2 linked regions of the Oryctolagus cuniculus genome follow. The protein of the gene in region 1 binds, or shares a complex with, the protein of each later gene. Links are inferred from orthologs where the notes say so. Each region holds a gene or a part of one and is shown on either strand. Other genes may lie near its edges. The genes, in order: RANBP9 and ARMC8.

Region 1 (3,906 bases):
TTAGCTCCCTGAGTCACAATGCCAGGCTCGAGATTATTATTTTTTAAAGAAAAATGGGGTGGGACCGGTGCAGTGGCACAGCTGGTTAAAGCCCTGGCCTGAAGCGCTGGCATCTCATATGGGCGCCAGTTCGAGATCCGGCTGCTCCTCTTCCGATCCAGCTCTCTGCTGTGGCCTGGGAAAGCAGTAGAAGACGGCCCAAGTGCTTGGGCCCCTGCACCTGTGTGGGAGACCTGGAGAAGCCAGAGCTTCTGGCTCCTGGCTTCGGATCGGTGCAGCTCTGGCTGTTGCGGCCAATTGGGGAGTGAACCAGCGGATGGAAAACCTCTCTCTCTATAACTCTGCCTCTCTAATAAATAAATCTTAAAAAAGGATGTGTATACATCCGGTCTTTGTAAACATAAAGCCCACTTCTGCTAGCTAGGAGAGGGTAAGCCGAACACACGGAGGTAGTGACAACGCAACAGTAACACGGGTCGGGTCTGGCAGGTCGTGCGAATCAGCTGCTCGGACCAAGCGCTCTGCTGACCTCCGTAAACATTCCCTGGTTTTGAAACAGGGCGTACTTCTCTCCTAACCTAACAAAGCGAGCTGTTAGCGGGATGCACGAGTCTGTAAAACGTCTGACTGGTTCTAGAAGCCCTTCCTAAAGACTTAACATCCTAGCCCGGTGTTCCTACAGTTCTCGTCGCCGCTCCGTTAGCATTTCCGAAACAGCACCCAGTACTACTGTGAAGTCCACTTGGGGTGCTCGTCCAATTCCTCTCTCAAGCGGGACACTCGGCTTTCGGCAATGGTTTCCACCGCCCAGGTGATCCACGTCAAGGCCGTCTGAGCGCCGCGAAGCGTGGACAGCGGGCTGTGCCTCCGCGACCACGCCGCCCCCAGGGCTCGGAGCTCCGCACGACCGGCCCCGGGGCTCCCCGAGCGCTCCGGGGGCGCCCGCAGGCCGGGCTCGCGGCGGCCCCAGCGGGGCTCGATTGCTCTCGCCTGGGCGCAACGCCTCACGGCGGCCCGGAGGAGCCCCGCGGCGCGGAGGTGGGGCGACGACAACAAAAAGCAGCCCGGGGGGCGGAGACTGGCCGGCGGCGGCCGTGAGGCGGGGGCGGCAGGCCCGACGCGAGCGTCCCCGCAGGTCCCCGCGGCGTCGGGAGCCCCGCGCCCGCGCCGGCGAGCGGGCGCGGCCCAGGGGCCTTCGCCGCACGCAGCCGGGACCCCGCGGCCCGCCCCCCGCGCCTCCGGCCCGCCCCCTCGCCTGGCGCCGCCCGCGCGCAGCGTCTCGCGCCGGCCCGCCGGGAAACAGCCGCGAGAGCTTGCGGTGCGGCGGCCGCCAGCGCGCCCGCGACCGCCCGCGTCCGCCCGCGTCGGCCCCCCGCGCGCCTGGGGTGCTCCGGCCAACGTTCTCTCGGGGCCTGCCCGGGCCCGCCGCCCACTCCCGCGGCCCCCCAACCGCCGCGCTCTCCCCGGGCGCGCGCGGCCCCTCCGCCTGCTTCCGGGGCGGGCGGACTCGGCGCCTGGTGCCGGCGGCCGCAGCGACAGCGCCCCCGGCCAGCGGAGGAGGAAGGAGAGAAGAGGTGGAGGTGGCCGCAGGCTGAGTCGCGGCCGGGATGTCCGGGCAGCCGCCGCCGCCGCCGCCGCCGCCGCAGCCGCCACAACAACAGCAGCAGCTGCCGCCGCCGCCGCCTGCGGCCGTGGCCCCGGTCTCCGGAGTCGTCCTGCCCGCGCCCCCGGCCGTCGGCGCCGGCTCCTCTCCGGCAGGCTCGCCCGGCGGCGGCAGCAGCGGCGGCGGCGGCTTGGGGGCCGCGGCAGCCGCGCTGCTCCTCCACCCGCCGCCGCCGCCGCCGCCGCCGCCCCCGGCCACCGCGGCCCCGCCGCCGCCGCCGCCGCCCCCCGCCGCCGCCGCCGCCGCCGCCGCCTCGGCAGCCGCCCCCGCCAGCGCGCCCCCGGCGCCCCCGGGCCTCTCGGCGGGGCCCGGCCCGGCCCCGGGCCTGGCGGCGGGCAGCAGCGCCGCGGCCCCCTTCCCGCACGGAGACTCGGCCCTGAACGAGCAGGAGAAGGAGCTGCAGCGGCGGCTGAAGCGCCTTTACCCGGCGGTGGACGAGCAGGAGACGCCGCTGCCGCGGTCCTGGAGCCCGAAGGACAAGTTCAGCTACATCGGCCTCTCGCAGAACAACCTGCGGGTGCACTACAAAGGTACTGGGCGTGTGTCCTGCGGTGGGGGAGCGGGGGCGCTGACCCGACGTGTCCGGCCGCCGCCCGCGACGCTCGCGACCCGGGCCCTGGGCGGTGACCCGGCGCAGGGGTCGCGGGGCCGCGGCCGGGGGACAGGGGGAGCGCGCTGCCCCGGGGCGGGGGAGCCGGGATGACAGGACGGCGCGGCGAGGTCGGTCCTGGGCTCGGGCTGGGTTACATTGTTCTCCAGGTGGTGGCTCGGGCGTGCTTTTTTCTTCCGGAGAGGAGGAGAGGCAGGCCTTGGGGGAGGAGTAGGCGGTGGAGGGTTTGGGCCCGCAGTGAGGCCAGGGACTGTCTGCGGGGGGACAAAAGGACGAGGGGCCCAGGTTTGCCAGCCCCGTCTCCCGCTGAAAGCCGGTGGGAGGCTGCGCTTGCTAGGGGAGCAGAAACCTGTCACTCCTGCTCCGAGATGCCCTGTGTTTCCGGGTTGGTGTTGCGTGAAGTCTTGCGGAAAAGCGAGCGGTTTAAAACCAGTGTCATTCAGTAGCTTAAAGGAAAGTGGATTATATTTTACACCTGCAGTGGAAAAAAAAAAAAAAGCAACCAACCTTAGCCTGGTGGTGCCCCCCCCCCCCCATCTTCTCCTAGGGCGTGCAACAAAGCTTTAAGCAAATCAGTTGCCTATGAAATTAGAAATTGCCATGGGAATTTTTGAAATGTAGCCCAGGTTGTCAGTAGCATGCATCGAAGTTTGCTTGTGTGGAATGAAAAGATCCATCTCGCGTAGCAGGCGGTCTGGAAACAGATGCAGTGTTTTAGGCCCCAAACCCGAGGCCGGAGCTTTGGCGTCCAGAGCAGCCTCATTTTGATTGGCTACAAAGGGAGGGTCTTACCCAGCGCCCAGTGCGTGGCCTCTCCGCAGAGGTATAAACAACTTTGTGGCTGAATTCTCAAAAGTATACAGGCACGAAATTGGTGGAGAACCTTGATACATGAGTTACTGTTTATTCGGAAGGGACAGTGGCAGCAGAAACCGAGCAGAGGGTTTGGCCGCGGGGAGCCAGGCGCAGGAACAGGCCTCCTTGGCATTCCTTTGTATCCAGAGCAGGGCTTTCCGTTCCTAACGCGATGCTCCTGGAGGCTGGACGTTTGGGAACACGGCGTCTTTGTCTCGTCAGTTCCCTTGCGAAGTGATGCTTCTGTTCTCAGATCCGGGTGGACCGCCCGGTGTTCTGAAGTGTTTGCGCGTGATCTGGCTGCCAGCAGGCTTTTGTTGGACTTGACAGGACTTTCCCCCTGAAGTTTGCCAGCTGCGCGTTTGAAAGGTGGCGAGCACTGGGAGAACCCCAGCCTCCCTGCAGGGCCGTTGCACGTGTGTTCCTGGGAGCAGAGAGGGAGTTGGCTGGGTGGTGGGTAAGGAAATTCCCAGCCCTGGATTTCCAGGGCACCTACGAGGCGTGATTACAGGTTGTTGAGCGCCGCGCACGCTTTGAGTTGTGTAAACAGAACATTGATGATGTGGGGCAGTGGAGAGCGCGTGTTTCTGTGAAATTGGTTGGAGTTTGGATTATTGATGATGCGGCTGTCTCAGCTGTCCTGATGGCTTCTTCATTGCTTTCTGTTGTGTGAGACTTAGATTCACTTTGGAAACGTCACTCTTTCATAAACTGTAAACCATTCTTTCTGGAAGAACGGTCTGTTGTTGGTCATCCTCCCCCCCACTTTGTTTCTCCC
Region 2 (3,806 bases), on another chromosome or scaffold:
AGAGGGAGTGTGCTGCTTCACTCCCCTGCTGCTTGTCTGGGGAGTGCCTGCCAGCCCCAGGTTCTACATGAGAACAGTGCCTGTAGACTCTGGCTTTGGAAGTGAGGATGAGATCATGTGGTAAAAAATGAATGGAAAGAATAAAAAATAAGAGTTCTCATAGGAGCCCCTGCAAACAATAAAATGTGTTTATGTGATCAGGAAACAAGGCCCTTGATAGTATTCCAAACCAGTAACCTAGTTTTAAGAAAGGGTAACATAATTGCTAGGTGTTCTATTGGTAAATTAATTTAGTCCTTTTCAAACTTTTGTTGTAACATTGTTTCCTCTGCCTTGTTTTTTTTTGTCCCCATCTCCATCTCATATACCTGCTCTAGTTTTGCCTTCCCTTCAGTCTTGTAATTAGGAAGGAAGCAATGTCCCACTTGAAAGGCTCTTGGTAATTTTTTGAAGTTCCCTTTGTCTTACAACGCTGTATTTTGTACAGTGTTCTTACAGGTTTGATTAGGGACTTATCTAGTTCAGTTTTAATTGCTGCTGCTTCCTCATTATTGTTCTATTACTTCAAAATTGATTTTAATTTTTCTATAATTAATTCTGACTTTCACAGTACTCTTCAAATCATGCAAATATTATTGCCATTCCTTTGAGGCTTCCTTTTAGTATTTTAAGCAGATTTAAATAGTTATTTTTTCAGGAGAAGAGTTTAGATTCTGAGCCATTAAAATAAATGCACTATTTGTTCTTTGATTTTTACAGGTTCGAATGCAAGCACTGAAATGCTTCTCCGTTTTAGCTTTTGAAAACCCCCAGGTATCGATGACCCTGGTGAATGGTAGGCTGAAACTTTCAGTACATCTATAAAATTTAATTTATGAACTTTATGAATTTAAATAAGTTTCTTAATCCTTTTGTTTGTTTGCTTCTAGTTTTGGTTGATGGAGAATTATTGCCACAGATTTTTGTGAAGATGTTACAGAGGGATAAGCCTATTGAGATGCAGCTCACATCGGCAAAATGGTAAAAGTCAAGACAATGTGGGAGAAAAGTGCTTTATCCATCTCTTAGAGTATTTTTGGACAGTTTCAGTCCCTCTTGCTTTGGGATTTTGAAAATTGAAAGTCATGCCACATTTTGCTAAATGAAAGTCATTTTTAAAATTTTATTTGAAAGGCAGAGAAACAGAGATAGGCAGAGAGATCTTCTGTCCACTGGTTCACTCCCCAGGACTGAGCCAGGTGGAGGAAGCCAGGGGCCTGGAACTCAGTCCACATCTCTAGTGTGAGGAGAGGAAGCCAAGTATTTGGGCCATCACCTGCTGCCTTCCAGGGAGTGCAGTAGCAGGAATCAAGCAGAGCCAGGACTAGAGAACCCAGGCACTCAAATACTGGGATGCAGGTATCTCAAGTGGCGTCTTAACCACTGTGCCAAATGCCACTTTAGAGGTCAGTTTTTAACATTCAGTTTATTACTCATAGTATGCAGGACAGGAACTCTCATATATATCGAAGACCCATCTACAGAAAATTACTTTAATGTCCTTCCCTGTCTTTGTATTTCAGTTGAGATGATACAAAATTGAAATAGATACAATTAATGCACATTATCCTAGTATCAAACCACAAAAATGAAAATATAGACAAATGTAGAGAGAATTAATTAAAGATGATAACCAGGGAGTGATTTTTTTAAAAATTAATTAATTTATTTGAAAGGCAGAGGCAGAGAGAGAGATAAAGAGAGGTCTTCTATCCCCTGCTTTATTCCCCAAATGGCTGCAATGGCCAGAGCTGCACCGATCTGGAGCCAGGAGCTTCTTCCGGGTCTCCCATGTGGGTGCAGGGGCCCAAGCACTTGGGCCATCTTCTTCTGCTTTCCCAGGCCATAGCAGAGAGCTGGATTAGAAGTGGAGCAGCCAGGACTCTAACCGGCACCCATATGGGATTCTGGCACTGCAGGCAGTAGCTTTACCTGATATGCCACAGCGTTGGCCCCAATGGGACATGGGGGATGATTTCTGAGAAGGAGACTTTTTTTATCTCTTAAAAGAACAGCAAACAGAATCTTAGATATGTGATATTTTGTATGATAATAGTGTAAAATTAGCATAATTCCTATCTCATGTAAGCATCCAGTGTGTGTTCATTCTGCAATTACCAATAGAGGTAATTACGGGTATGTTGAGCATATGTATGGTTCTATGCTAAGTGAAGCTGTGGCTCTTTAATAGAGAATTAGGATTTTCAGTGAATTACTCATGAAAAGTAACAGCTACAAAGATTTCAACCTTCTACAAAATAAGTATAAAAGAATTTTCCTGATTTGTGTATAGTTTTCTCTAAAAGCCAAACATAGAATGTTTTACTTTTTGCCCTGGGACTGCCTTCTACTGGTTTATTTCCCAAATACCCATAATGCCCAAGGCAGGGCCTAAAGCCAGGAGCCAGAGAAGTCAATCCAGGTCTTCCATGTGGGTGTCAGGAACCCAGTTATTTGAGCCATGATCACTGCCTCTCAGGGTCTGCATTAGTAGAAAACTGACGTCATGAGTCAGAGACTGGCATCAAACTTAGGCACTTATGAGTATCTTAACCAATAGGCTAAATACCCATTCCAGAATAATTAGTTTTTGATGAATAGTTGTGTTACAAGTTAAGTGGGTCTTTTGTGCTACTTCTACTGTATTGGAGTTAGACTATCTCAACTTCATTTATAAACTGAGATGTTTTGTTAACTTTTTAATATTTCCTCCTCTTTTATTATAGAAAATTTAAAACAAAATAACAGAGAAAAACATAACTCACATGTACTTAGCACAGTTTCAAAATGTCTGCACTTATTAGGCCGTCTATTTTTAAAACAATTTGGTAGGTTTTTTTGTTTGTTTTTAGTATCTGGCTTACTATCTATATGTGTGTGGTTTTGCTTCAGTTATTAAATTGAACCTCAGGTAAAGGAAGGTCAAAATGTCTCTCAAGATACATGGTAGTAGGGACCAACATTGTGACACAGTGGGTGACGCTGCTGCATACGACACCAGCAAACCATGTGAGTGCCAGTCTGTCCAGCTGCTCCGTTTCTGATCCAGCTCCCTGATAATGGCCTGGGAAAAGCAGCAGAGGATGGAACTGTTTTGGCCCCTGCTACCCAAGTGGGAGACCTGAAAGAAGCTCCTGGCTTCAGCCTGGTCTAGTGCTGGCCATAGGGACCATCTTGGGAGTGTACCAGCAGATCAAGATTCTCTCTCCCTCTCTCTCTGTAACTGACTTTCAAATTAATAAATAAATCTTTTTTAAAAAATGATAGTACTTGTTTTTTTGTGTTTTATTTTTCATAAAATCTCAAAGGCAAATAATTTTTCTTTTTAAAACTTTAAAGCCAAAGGTAAAACTTACTTTTTGCCATCTTATTCCAGTTTAACTTACATGTGTAGAGCAGGAGCAATTCGGACAGATGACAGCTGTATTGTGTTAAAGGTAAGCTAATGAAGTCTCCCTGGAAACATGGGAATTACAGTTCTATAAGTATTGAGTATGTATAATAGCATTCTCACTTTTTATGTATTTATCATTATAGATGTGTACATGGCATAAAATGTGCTTGCTTTACAGTTTTTAAAAGTTAATTTTCGATGTGTTTTTCAATAGTAAAGCAAAATGATTTGTTTCTTATCACAACTTTTTCATTTTATGATAATTAGAAAACGGAAATCTGAAAGTATATGAAATTCAAGTGAAGTAGAAAATATATTATAATCTATAATTTTCATTATGTTTGAAGTGCAGTTTTGTAGGCACTTTACTAGC

The links.
Region 2: the proteins of RANBP9 (region 1) and ARMC8 are in contact, whole or in part, in a cryo-EM structure (PDB 7NSC), measured with the Homo sapiens proteins. The link is inferred for Oryctolagus cuniculus from reciprocal best matches to the Homo sapiens genes RANBP9 and ARMC8. Residues at the interface, in NP_005484.2 of Homo sapiens: Tyr271, Gly298, His299, Ser300, Leu301, Gly302, Ile303, Asp337, Asp340, Tyr341, Arg343, Glu344, Thr347; in NP_001350870.1 of Homo sapiens: Gln245, Arg246, Asp247, Val277, Leu278, Lys279, Ile317, Ile320, Thr321, Asp322, His323.

The regions. Positions count from the first base shown.
Region 1 is NC_091436.1:156,925,147-156,929,052, forward strand, and holds the start of RANBP9 (ran-binding protein 9), read left to right. Parts: upstream 1-1,286; 5' UTR 1,287-1,607; coding exon 1,608-2,193; intron 2,194-3,906. UniProt on the Homo sapiens protein: May act as scaffolding protein, and as adapter protein to couple membrane receptors to intracellular signaling pathways. Acts as a mediator of cell spreading and actin cytoskeleton rearrangement.
Region 2 is NC_091435.1:143,475,382-143,479,187, reverse strand, and holds part of ARMC8 (armadillo repeat-containing protein 8), read left to right. Parts: intron 1-759; coding exon 760-835; intron 836-929; coding exon 930-1,020; intron 1,021-3,415; coding exon 3,416-3,476; intron 3,477-3,806. UniProt on the Homo sapiens protein: Component of the CTLH E3 ubiquitin-protein ligase complex that selectively accepts ubiquitin from UBE2H and mediates ubiquitination and subsequent proteasomal degradation of the transcription factor HBP1.